2 linked regions of the Caenorhabditis elegans genome follow. The protein of the gene in region 1 purifies or fractionates together with the protein of each later gene. This does not show direct contact. Each region holds a gene or a part of one and is shown on either strand. Other genes may lie near its edges. The genes, in order: F17B5.1 and disl-2.

Region 1 (5,932 bases):
TCGCATTGTGGAATAATTTTTTTACAGTACTACTTGACTAATTTGATAGCTCTGTATTCGAAAAAAGCACTCCAAATTCACTTCGATATCGTAAAATTTCATAAATTCCAACTTTTTTCAAGGAAAAATGTCCGAATGGCTCAGTGAGTTTTTGGCCGGCCACCAGTCTAACGACCAGAGTTCGAGTCCGCACTGTGGCATAATTTTTTTGTTTTAGTCTGATTCGACTAATTTGATGGTTTTTCATTCTGAAAGCATTGTTTAACATCAAGGTGTATAGTTTTATTAATGATGTCATAGTATTAACAATTGAAGAGATTGTAAAGAAGCAAATGAATATGACAAATAATCGGTAAAAACCTCTTTTTTGCATTGCACAGGTTGTTTGAAAAAAGTTGGGGTTTACTCTAAGAAACTAGTGGAAAGTGTAGAGAAATAGCGAATTCAGAGGAAAAAAACACAAACATTTGTCATATTCTCTAAATTGAAGGCGGAGTAGAGTGAATTACTATTTTTAGTATTCGCAAATTCAAGCTACTCCACCTTTAAAACAAGATTATCTATCTATCTACATCTACAGACAAAACCACAACCGCAGTAGGTAGAGCAATCATTGGATCGTGAAGGAGCACAATATCCTGAGTTCGCGTTATAATAGTATCTACAGTTGCTATTGCAATCTGTGACTCTACCACGAGTACTAAGATATCGATATCCCTTAATAGCGTTGCGTTCGAGTGGCGAGTCAAATTGGTATCCCATAAACGATGATCGTCCATTCAAGCCTTTGCCTACCTTCCAGTCATACCAAGGATCTTTACAATTTACTGTCATCGAGAGCACAAATAAAGCCAAAAGACAGAAGGAAGTCGAGTGCCCAAACATTTTCCAACTTTGTTCTGAAGTTCGTACAAAATTTCTGAGTATATTCTAATAAACTCGAAATGGCACCGAGAAACCCAGTGTCATAAAGAGATTGCTTTTGTTTTTTCATTGGTTTTCTTCTGTTTAGACTAACAGAAAAGAATAGAAAAGCTATAGTTCAGCAGAATTGGTAAACTTTCAGGTTTTTGCTGAATCTAGATGTTTTAAACAAATGTTTGAACCTCCATGAAGTTTTCTTGAATTTTTTTTATAAATTTTATCATGAAAACGGTTTCAGGAACCATTCCAAGTATATAATAGTAACACAGAATAAAATAAAGGAAAATTTTTTACTTACTATCAAGAGGCCGGTTAGATTGAACGAGTCCTTCACTATGGTGGAAGTAGCAGATAAAACTTCAACACGGATTCAGCTTTTAAACAAAGTGGGTGGGCATACAGTAGGCAGACAAATCTGTGGATTGGTGATTGAGAATAACAAAACTCAAAATTGTAATGTTAAATCAACAGGAAACTTGTCACGGTCAAGCACAGAGAGCGCATTTTTGCACATGTTTCTGGCTAGAAATAAGGCAAAGTGACACATTTGATCGCCGTGCAGGGGCAGCTGTTCAAAAAGTTGTTGACAATTATTAGTTGAAAAAAATATGACAATTGTTGTGCTCTCAATGATTGGGAAGGTTCAAAAGTTCGAACAAATATATGTAGTTTAGTCCACCGACGCATGTTTTAATTCGAGGGACTAGGCAAATTTTGAAACAATCTGAAATGGGATACTAAACTTAGAAATTGATATTGAAAGTCAACAACTAGAGCACGAGCGAGCATCACAATTAACATTTCATAACCTTGTATTGTATGCCATATGATTTTATTTTCCATTTCCTAAAGAACGTGATCAAATTAAACAAAAGTACATTCAGAAAATTCCATTAATTTGAATTTAGAGATGTACTTTTACGAATCTATTTCAGAACAAATCACACAAAATTACTGATAAACTTTTTCATAGTTTTCACTTATTTGTTCAGTGTTGGCGAATGTTGAGTATAAGTTGTTTACGATAATTCGGTTTTGGTGATAAACTCCGTTTTTAAGGACGATAGAGAAGACCAAGTAGTTCGAACATTCATTTTTATTGAAGTTTGGGCTGCAAAATGACAGAGTCGATTGATGGAAACCCTTGGAGAATTCTCGAACTTGTGGCTGAGGTTAGTTATTGGAATCCTACTATGTAGTAAATATTTTAATTGAAAAATTTTCCGATTGAAATTTGGTTTTATCATTTCAAAGCCTGAGGGTAATCTCAATTCCTACCTGGTTAAAAACCCTTTTTTTCAGAATGAATATCATCTAGAACAAGACAATAATGTTGATCAACTTGAACAATTTTCTGTAATCCCCGGATTTCAAGAAGAACTTGTTGAATTTGCAAAGAAAAAACTATTGGATTCCATAGAAGTTCAACAATTTCTTGTGGAAAGAGATATTGAGTTTCAGGAGAAGTTAGTTATTCTCTATTTTTTTTTTCTAAATAAGAAAATAGTAATTAATTATAATTGTTATGTTTACAGGAATATTGCGTCACTGATAGATGAATTAAGTGATAATCAAGACGATGAGTCGAATTCCAAAGAAATACATTTGGAATTGAAATCTTCAAAAAACAAATATGAAGGTCTTAGAAAGAAGATCGCAAGTTTCAAAGGGAGACAACAGAAAGCTGTGGGATTTTTGAATTCTGGACTAGAGGAAATTCGAATTCTAACTTCTCCCAATGACAAATTTTGCTACAAAGTGAAGAATGCTTCTTGGAGGTGTTCGGTCGATAATTCCATTGATCTACAGAAGATCAAATTGATATGCGAGAAGTTAATCGGATTGGAAAAGAAAATGGAAGTTACATTTTGGACATCTGAGATCATGAAACTTCTAGAAAATCTTGATCAACGACATTATGCAGTAGCATTTGGGATTATTATTGGGATGGTAGGTTGCTAGAGATTTAGTATTCTTGCCTACAGTGATTTGCTCATTACAGGCAACTTGGGAATACGAAAACTCAGAAAAATATCATTTGCTGGCACTTATACACCTTTCAATTGGTAGAGATGAAACAAAGACGGATGTACTTCTGTATTGGGAGAATTGGGAGAATGAGTCAATTGAACAATCCATCGTTAGTTTGAGAATTTTGATGATTTTCTACATGAAAATAAGTATTGTGAGTTTGAAAGAATGCTCGTGGCAATTGTTGACTAAGAAATTATAGGATGATTTGGAGTGCAGGGAAAACTTTGAGTTCAGAATTTGCCAGGTAATCGTTTTCATTTTGGAGCACAAAGAGTTTGAGTCAAGCCACTTGACCATGATAACTGAACTCCTCGGAAGTATTGAACAACGATTTGGGAATTTCACGGAAATGTGTGACATTATGTTCACACATTTTGAAGCGAAAGCTCAGATGTTTGACAGGTTTGTTATTAAAATCTTTTTGATTGCTATCCAGGACTCTCACATTTCCTTCGACACTTGGAACGCACTTTTCGGCCAAACGCCGTTTCAAACTTTGTCAGGATTTTGGAAGACGTTGGTGAGACTATGAGCAGTAGGAGAAAATCGGATGTCTGTCCAACTTCTGCTCAATGTTTGAAACATTTCTAAAAAACTATCGGCGGACTTCTAGATTTTAAACTGATGAACCTTTTTTTGTAGCTATGAAGCAAAGATGCTAGTTTTCATGAGAAATGAGCATTTGTCTCTTCTCCAAACACAACACATCGACCAATGCATGGACACTCTGAATATTCTGATTTTATTGTACTTGAAAATAAAAATCGTGAGTTTGAAAGTAATTATCAGGACAATTTTTGATGAATAAGTTATAGGATAAGTGGACGTATAGAGAGATAATTGAACAAAGAATTTCTCAGTTCATCATTTGCATTTTGGAGCACACAGAGTTTCAGTCAATCCACTTGACACTTATAATTCAGCACCTTGAAAGTATCGAGCAACAATTCGGGTGCTTTTCTGGAAAGTTCGACAATATGTTCAAAATTTTTGAATTGAAGCTTCAGATTCTTGACAGGTTGGTTTTCAAAAATTTTTCCTTTTTTACAGTAACAGAGGAAAATGTTAACTCCGTTGTATGTTCACATAACGCTAACTTCCTCAATAAGATGAGGTTATAGCTTTGGTTGTTGTACTATTCAACTTCAACGTAGCCTTATGATTAAAAAAATTTCATTTTTCAGACCAGAACAAGAACGAGTTTCCAAATGGATAAAGTCGCTTTCTTTGCGTTCTTCAATCTCAGAGTTCTCGTCTGAACACTCTCATAGTACAGTTACAGTAATTGAGCACTCTGAGAAAACCTATGAGCTTGAACAAAACGTTCGAATTGACCTTGAGGAAACATTGAAATTGGAGAAAAGAATTGAAGAAGTATCGATAGAGGAATCCAAGAAGAAACAGGAGAAACTGGAGTTGAAGCAGAGAGAGGAGGAAGAAGCAAGAATCAAGGAAGAAGAAGAAAAACAAAGAAAGATTTTGGAAGAGGAAGCTAGGAAAAAACAGGAAGAGGAAGAAGCAAGGTTAAAAGCGGAGGAAGAATTGAAAATTTATGAAGAAGAAAAACGCAAGAAAGAGTTGGAAGAGGAAAGGAAGAAGAAGGAAGAACTGGAAATAAAACGGAAAGCTGAAGAAGAGAAGAAAAAAAAAGCTCTGGAAGAGGAAAAGAAAAGAAAAATCGCAGAAGAGAAAGCTAGGCAAAAACAGGAAAAAGAAAGAAAAAAGCAGGCGAATAAATGCACATTCCTCCAAAATTTCACATTTATCAGGCACCAACATCCATCTCAAACATATAACGAGCGAGTGCTCGATGGAAAAGTGGTTGGACTGTATTTCTCTGCTCATTGGTGTCCGCCATCTCGCGATTTCACTCCGGTTCTTGCACAATTCTATAGTCAAGTAGAGGATAACTTCGAAATACTATTCGTTTCGAGCGACAATAATACACAAGAAATGAACTTCTACTTGCAAAATTTCCATGGCGATTGGTTCCATTTGCCACTCAATTTGTGCAATTCAATGAAGCACCGAAATACCAAAAATCATATTCCTGCCTTAATAATAATGAAACCCGATGGAACAGTTATTACTGATGATGGACGAAATCTAGTTTCTCAATGGATCAACGATCCGAAAGCATTGGTCAACCATTGGAAAGCAATGTTGAACTGAAGTGCGAAAAGGATTTTTATGTTTCTGGTTCACTTTTATTTAATTTTTTTTTTCATTTTAAATGCTCTTTGTGTAGAAAATCTTCGCAAGTATTAGATCAGTTTTACTAATCTGCCTCTTCCTATATTAAATCCTGAAATTGCATTCTTGACAGAAATAAAAAATAAGGGCACGTTGTCGACATGGGGTGTCCCGAGAAATGTGACTGCACTTTGAGAGCTTATATCTTGGCTTAGGATTGGCGGTTTTTTGAGCAATTTGTTTCAATAGCTTACAAAAATAGCGCCTTCCATCGTCATCATTGTGGGGGGGGCGCTTTTGGGAAGGCTAAAACACTGATTTGAGCGGAATTCTGGAGTATGGTCGAAATGGATGTATTCTTTGTACTGACGAATTTCATGTTTTTTCAGCCCCAAATCTTCAGTTTTTCTGACATTTGGTTCCAATTTGTGCGCAAGAGAGAACTTCGTATTTCCAATTTTTTGAAACTATTTTGAAAAAAATTGGCCCACTTTCCAAAATGTAGACCATCATTCAATTTTTGCAAAATCAAAAAGATTAATTAAACGTGAAAAACTTTTCTACCACTCTCTCTCTTTCTCTATTTTTGGTGATGAATTCGATAATTTTCATTTCTTATTTTTAATAACGTGAGGAAAACTCAATTTTGAAGACTTTTCGAGATTTTTACTTTTTCCCAAATCTAATTGAGGGCCGCACTTTTTGAACATGTTGGCTACTTTTAACCTGACTTCCAGCAGGACAGGCTGGAGGCCTGCAATGCTATTGGTTTTCAGTCAAA
Region 2 (6,027 bases), on another chromosome or scaffold:
CGGCAGTTTATTGCCGAAAAATGCGGAGAAAAAACGTGGAATGGGGGAGATTTTGTGTGTATAGCTGAGTGTAGGAGATAATTATAACAAAAATGAGGAAATTAACGATAAATTAATCGCTATCTTCATCATCTGAAGAGCTGCTACCGGCCTTTTTCTCATCTTCATCATCTTCCACCTCCTCCTTTTTTGGTTTTTTGGGCTCTGGCTCATCATCTGCAACTCCGTTGGCGTCCAGGTCGGCTTCACGCTTTTTTGCTTGTCTTTCCTGAAATTTTTGATTTTTTTAGAATTGAATATTTATAAAACATCTTTTAAAAATTATCAAAATTTGGAAAAATACCAATTTTCTCCTTTTTATGTGTAATTTTAAAATTAAAAAATCTAGAAAACGTTATTTTATCGAATTTTCCGTCATTTTCGGCATTTTTTTCCAATAAGTTTATACAATTTTATCAGGGAGATTCTGCTGTGTTTTTTCTGAATTTATTTTAACGAAAAGGAAATGTCTTCGAATTGTGATACTATCGTCTAAAAACCTCGAATTCTAATTTTTTTATAGTTTTTAAACAAAATTTAATCTTTTTTAGAAGATTATATCACATCTAATTTAGAAAAATCAGCTGCAATCAAAATTTTAAATTGGTTTTCCGTTGTTACTCTGAAGAAATTCAAATTTTCAGGCGATTTTTGCTCAAATATTGTCCTCACCTTCCACTCTTTTCTACGCTTATCCATTTCGGCTTCAGCCTCTTCTCTCATTTCCGGTGCCATATCACTGGTTCCAATGATGTGTCTTGTCAAGAATTTTACCATTCCGAATCCCTTCAGACGATTCTTCTTGAAGATCGACTCAAGTGTGCTATCACAGATAATGTATTGTCCGTTTTTTGGATCCTTCAGATTATTTTCCTTAATATAATCCCAGAGAGCCTTCACCACATCGCAACGCTTCATCCACTGATCTTTGGTGACTTGTTGAAGCTCTGTGCTGATATAACAGAGCTTTGTCATTGGTCCAAAGACTCCAGACATATCTGCATTTGGATCCTTCACCTTCTTCTTCTTATTATTCGCAAATCTACCTCCTTCCGAGGTATTTCTGATCTGTTTCAGAGCGTCCGAAGCAGCAGCTCTTCTTGTAGATTTGATGCTTGATGCCATATCTGGTGGAATCCTTGTAGTAGTTTTCTTTCCTCTCTTCTTCCCGTCCATAACAGCATCTTCAACACCGCTATCCGAGTCGGAATCCTCTTTCACCTCTTTTTTAGCTTTTACTGGCAGCTCTTCTTTCTTGACTTTTTCTGTTTTCTCCTTCTTTTCCTCCCCTTCTTCATGATCACTATCACTGTCAGTTCCACCATCATCTGAACTATCTGAGCCATTTTCATCATTTCTTTTCTTAATTTCTTCGATAACCATCTTCTTAAGCTGCGATTTATAAGAGTCAAAGTTGATATTAAAACGATTCTGTAAAGTTTTTTGATAAATAGTTGCGGATTCCCACGCTTTGAACTCACATTCATATGCCTTACGATATCCGATGGAGTTAATTCGTCGAAACCTGGCTTGCGAACCAACAATGCGATTTCCTCCTCAGCAGCCTGAAAATTTACATGATTTTCTTTAAAATTGTGCAATAGATTACCTCCTTGTCCATGGGGAACGAAGAAATAGGCTCCTCAGTTGTCATTTTGACCTGGCTTGATTTTACCCGACAGCGATCTGAAAAAACCAAAAAAATCAATAACTTATCGTCTAATTGAATTTTAATTGGCGGACACGGTTTATGGGGTAATGTTGTATGATGAATAGGTTCAGATGGTAGTTGAACATGTATTTATTCAACTATAACTTGAAAATCTTTTAAAAAAATCGGGAAACAATTCGAATTCTTCGTGAAATTTTAAAAGGCCCGCCTCCCGAAACCGCGTTGACAAGAAAATAAAAGAGACGACTACGGTGAAAATTGTTATGTGCACGGTGTTTGCGGACTTGCATACCGTATCCTTTCCATATATTTCCATGTTGTTTTGATTGTACTTTTTGTAAATTTTTGTTGCGAAATTACACTTTCCTCTTTCCTCTCGTTTCTTCTCATAATTTCCCCCAAATTACCATTTATTCTAGATGTCAGCAGTTGAAAGTCCCGTTATTGTGACAGAGCCCGGTTCGTTGAAGCCGCAGGGCCTCACTCAGACAGCTACAGGCGGAAAGTTTGGTGCTGCCGCTACGTAAGTCATAATTTCACAAATTTCTCTACTAATCTTATGTTTTTCAGAGTCAAAACCACTCCAACAAAAGCAAAACCATATGTGAAGCCGCAAAATGCAAATAATTTGCAAAACAACTTCAATCCGCGGAAAATCTTCACCGAATACATATCAAAGGAGGAAACAGATGCCGGAATCGAAGACGGTTCAATGTTCAAAGGTGTCTTGCGGATAAATCCAAAAAACTATCAAGAATGTTTTTTGGATCATCCAAAAGGCACAAATCATCCAGATGTTCTTGTTTTGGGCCAAGATCGGAATCGTGCGATGCAAGGAGATGTGGTGGCTGTAAAGATCAAGCCAAAAGAGGATTGGCTTGTACGGTTTAATCATTTGAAAAAAACAACTAGAACTGATTTCATCCAAATAATACCTATTTTTCCACGAATCTTTTAGAGCTTTGTGGATATTCTTCCTGTAGATTACATAAATTTATTTTTAATTCTAGGAATTTAAAAATGAGAAAAAAGAAAACATCTAAAATCCATTAAAGCCTGCTAATTTCGAATAGTTATATGCAAATTATGTTCACAAAATCTGAATTCTTCGAGGAAAAAACTATTTTTCCAGGTAAACTATGTGGAATATGTGAAATGGTGGGCGGAGCACAAGAAAGGAGATCGAAATAGCGGCAAAACGGACAACAATAGCCCAAATAAAACAGAAAAACGATGTCTGCGCAACGAAATTCAAGACAATGGAGTTACAAGTGACGAAGTTCCCGATTCTTGTCTCATCACCATCGGAGCCATTGTTCATATCCTTGAGAAGAAACATTTCCGTGTAGCCGCCGGCAAGCTCCAGCTAATGCCAAACAGCGCGAATCCCAACGTGTTGTTCGTTGCTACAGATTCTCGTGTCCCTCGAATTCTCATTCCAAAATCCGATGTGGATAAGGAGTTCTTCTCACGCCCAAAGGACTTTGAGAGATTCCTTTACACAGCTAAGATCACTGATTGGCGCGCTGAATCTGTTTATGCCGATGGAAGACTCGTGAAGCTTCTTGGCATGTCCGGAGAAATCGATACAGAAACTGAAAGAATCGTCTACGAGCACCAAATCGATCACAGAGAGTTCAGCGACGAATGCCTCGAATCACTTCCAATCACTACAGCCGAAAACTGGAAGGTCCCTGATGCCGAGTTCGAGTACCGAAGAGATTTCCGAAGTGACATCGTTTTTACAATCGATCCAAAAACCGCTAGAGATCTCGACGATGCTCTTCACGCGAAACACATCGATGATTGTGACGGAAAAGGAACTCCAGGCCTTGAGATTGGAGTTCATATTGCTGATGTTACATTCTTCCTGAAAGAAGGTACAGAGCTTGACAAATGGGCATCCGAACGTGGAAATAGTACTTATCTATCACAAACTGTAATTCCAATGCTTCCAAGAATCCTCTGTGAGCAGCTGTGCTCTTTGAACCCTGGAGTCGATCGCCTCTCCTTCTCAACTGTATTCAAAATGAGCTACGAAGCCGAGCTGTATGATGTTTGGTTTGGAAGATCTGTTATCAGATCCCGTGTTAAACTTGCCTACGAACATGCACAGGATTTCATCGAGAACCCGGAGAAGGACTTCACATGCGACGAGCTTCCCGATATTTCAGATGGAAATACGCCTTTTGAGATCAAGGAAAAGACTCTGATGTTGCACAGAATCGCGCAAGTTCTTCGACAAAAGCGTGAAGATAGTGGAGCATTGCGGATCGAGCTTCCCAGATTGAAATTTGCATTGGATGAGGATAAGAAGCCACAAGGAGTTTCTATATACGAGGTTAATAAACAGTTTTTTGTTAAAGAAAATGTGTTTTTATATTAATTTTTGTTTTCAAACAGCAATTTTTTGGTCACATTTTTTCGGTTCTAGCAACAAAAAAGTAATCCATAAATTTAGATTTTCAAAAATCGGAAATTTAAAAAGAATTGCCAATTTTATAAAATACAAATGTTAAAATTTCAGATCAAAGATTCGAATAAACTCGTAGAAGAGTTCATGCTGCTCGCCAATATGGAAGTGGCTAAAAAGATCGCTGAAAATTTCCCAGAACACGCCCTTCTTCGTAATCACCCGCCACCAAAAGAGAAAATGATAAAGGACGTGGCTGAGCAATGTGCAAGAATTGGATTTCCATTGGACGGAAGAACGTCTGGATTACTTTCCACGTCACTTCGCAAGTATCAAGGAAAATCCCGTTTGGATATGTGCATTCGACAAGTAATTTCCTCATTGACAATTAAGCCAATGCAACAGGCGAAATATTTTTGCACTTTCGAGATGCCTCTTTCATTTTATCATCATTTTGCTCTCAACGTGGATCATTATACACATTTCACATCGCCAATTCGTCGGTATCCAGATGTGATTGTTCATCGACAACTTGCTGCTGCTCTTGGTTATAATGAAAGATCTGAAAGAGTTCCTGAAGAGATACAGGAGATTGTAAGTTTTCAAACACTCAAGAAATTTTTGCATTTAAATTTTCAGTGCACCCGCTGCAATGACACAAAGCTCGCATCGAAGGAAGCTTCGGATGAGTCTGCGATGCTCTATTTTGGAGTTTTCATCCATCAAACCGGTCCGATGAAGTGCCAAGCTGTTGTTCTTGGTGTAATGGATCTCTCATTCGACGTCCTCATCGTTGAGTATGGAGTTGTGAAGAGAGTTTATGTGGATGTGAGTATAGATTTCAAACAATGACGAAAAAAAAATCCGAATAATTTCAGAAAATGAAGCGAGACTTCAACAAATCGACCGAGAAGCTTACCATTTACTGGCCAGCAGATCCGAATGCGGAATCCGGAAACCGTGAAGAGTTTTCGAGCTCAATTCAAATGTGCAACGTGGTTTACGTGATTCTCGTGCCGTACAAAAGCATTGAAGTCAGCGCGACAATTGTTCGTCCGAGTCTCGAGCAACGTAATATTCTCAAGTCGACTCTCAAGGACATGAAAGAAACGGGCTCAACAATTCTTCAGTAGTCATTCGGATTCAGTGATCTCCTCCAGCAAAAGCTTTTTTTCCTTTTTCAATCCTTTTTTCCCCTTTTTCTATCCTTTTTTTCCCTTTTTCTATCCTTTTTTTTCTCCTTTATCCTTTTTTTCTTTAAATTCCATTTTCCCGTTGTATTTTTTAAAACGCGTGTCCATTCCTCGTCCCGGTTACTTTTGGTGTCGAATGAAAATGCATTATTCAATATTACTAGCGAAACTTTTATTTGACAAGTTTTGGGTGTTAACTGTCACGTAACTCGTTAAGAAAATTAGAAACTAGAGAAATATAGGACAATTGAGAAGTGCAGTTAAAATAATATGTATTGTTATCTATTCGATATCCATCATTGTCTGTCCCCAGATCATATTCGACTCGCATTGGTAGCTGACCGGTTTGGCGGTGAAGTTGAAGTACTGACGGTTGACCTTCAGATTGGAGCACATTTCGAGGAAAAGCTCCATGTTCGTGTCAGAGACGCAGCCATGAACGTTGAGATAAACGAGCGAAGGCTTACTGTTGAAGTGTCTGGAAATGTTTTGTTTAAATAAATTAAACTAATTTTCAAATAAACTCACACAACCATATTAGGGTCCAATCCGTAGCATCGATTGAGAGAAATTGTCGTAAGTCTCGGGAATTTGTTCAGAATCACTGCGAGGCCTGGATCACTAATCTCGACGTTATCCGACAAGTCGAGGTCGGTGACGTAGTTGGATTTTGCGGCGAGAATCTCAATATCTGGAATTTTTTACAGAAA

Evidence for each region.
Region 2: the proteins of F17B5.1 (region 1) and disl-2 fractionate together in Caenorhabditis elegans (co-fractionation; one large-scale study listed by BioGRID). This does not show direct contact.

What each region holds. Positions count from the first base shown.
Region 1 is NC_003279.8:13,182,888-13,188,819, forward strand, and holds F17B5.1 (protein-disulfide reductase), read left to right. Parts: upstream 1-1,964; 5' UTR 1,965-2,042; coding exon 2,043-2,096; intron 2,097-2,226; coding exon 2,227-2,390; intron 2,391-2,459; coding exon 2,460-2,874; intron 2,875-2,926; coding exon 2,927-3,109; intron 3,110-3,157; coding exon 3,158-3,360; exon of another isoform or gene 3,361-3,600; coding exon 3,601-3,724; intron 3,725-3,773; coding exon 3,774-3,976; intron 3,977-4,142; coding exon 4,143-5,130; 3' UTR 5,131-5,305; downstream 5,306-5,932. Other genes in the region: rgba-1 (Defensin-like protein), read right to left, coding at 565-885.
Region 2 is NC_003281.10:5,441,037-5,447,063, forward strand, and holds disl-2 (DIS3-like exonuclease 2), read left to right. Parts: upstream 1-2,130; coding exon 2,131-2,234; intron 2,235-2,281; coding exon 2,282-2,591; intron 2,592-2,843; coding exon 2,844-4,052; intron 4,053-4,238; coding exon 4,239-4,718; intron 4,719-4,763; coding exon 4,764-4,952; intron 4,953-5,002; coding exon 5,003-5,257; 3' UTR 5,258-5,470; downstream 5,471-6,027. Other genes in the region: T24G10.2 (DM2 domain-containing protein), read right to left, coding at 113-268, 712-1,470, 1,521-1,604, 1,649-1,693; skpt-1 (F-box domain-containing protein), read right to left, coding at 5,600-5,795, 5,846-6,008. UniProt on the Caenorhabditis elegans protein: 3'-5'-exoribonuclease that specifically recognizes RNAs polyuridylated at their 3' end and mediates their degradation.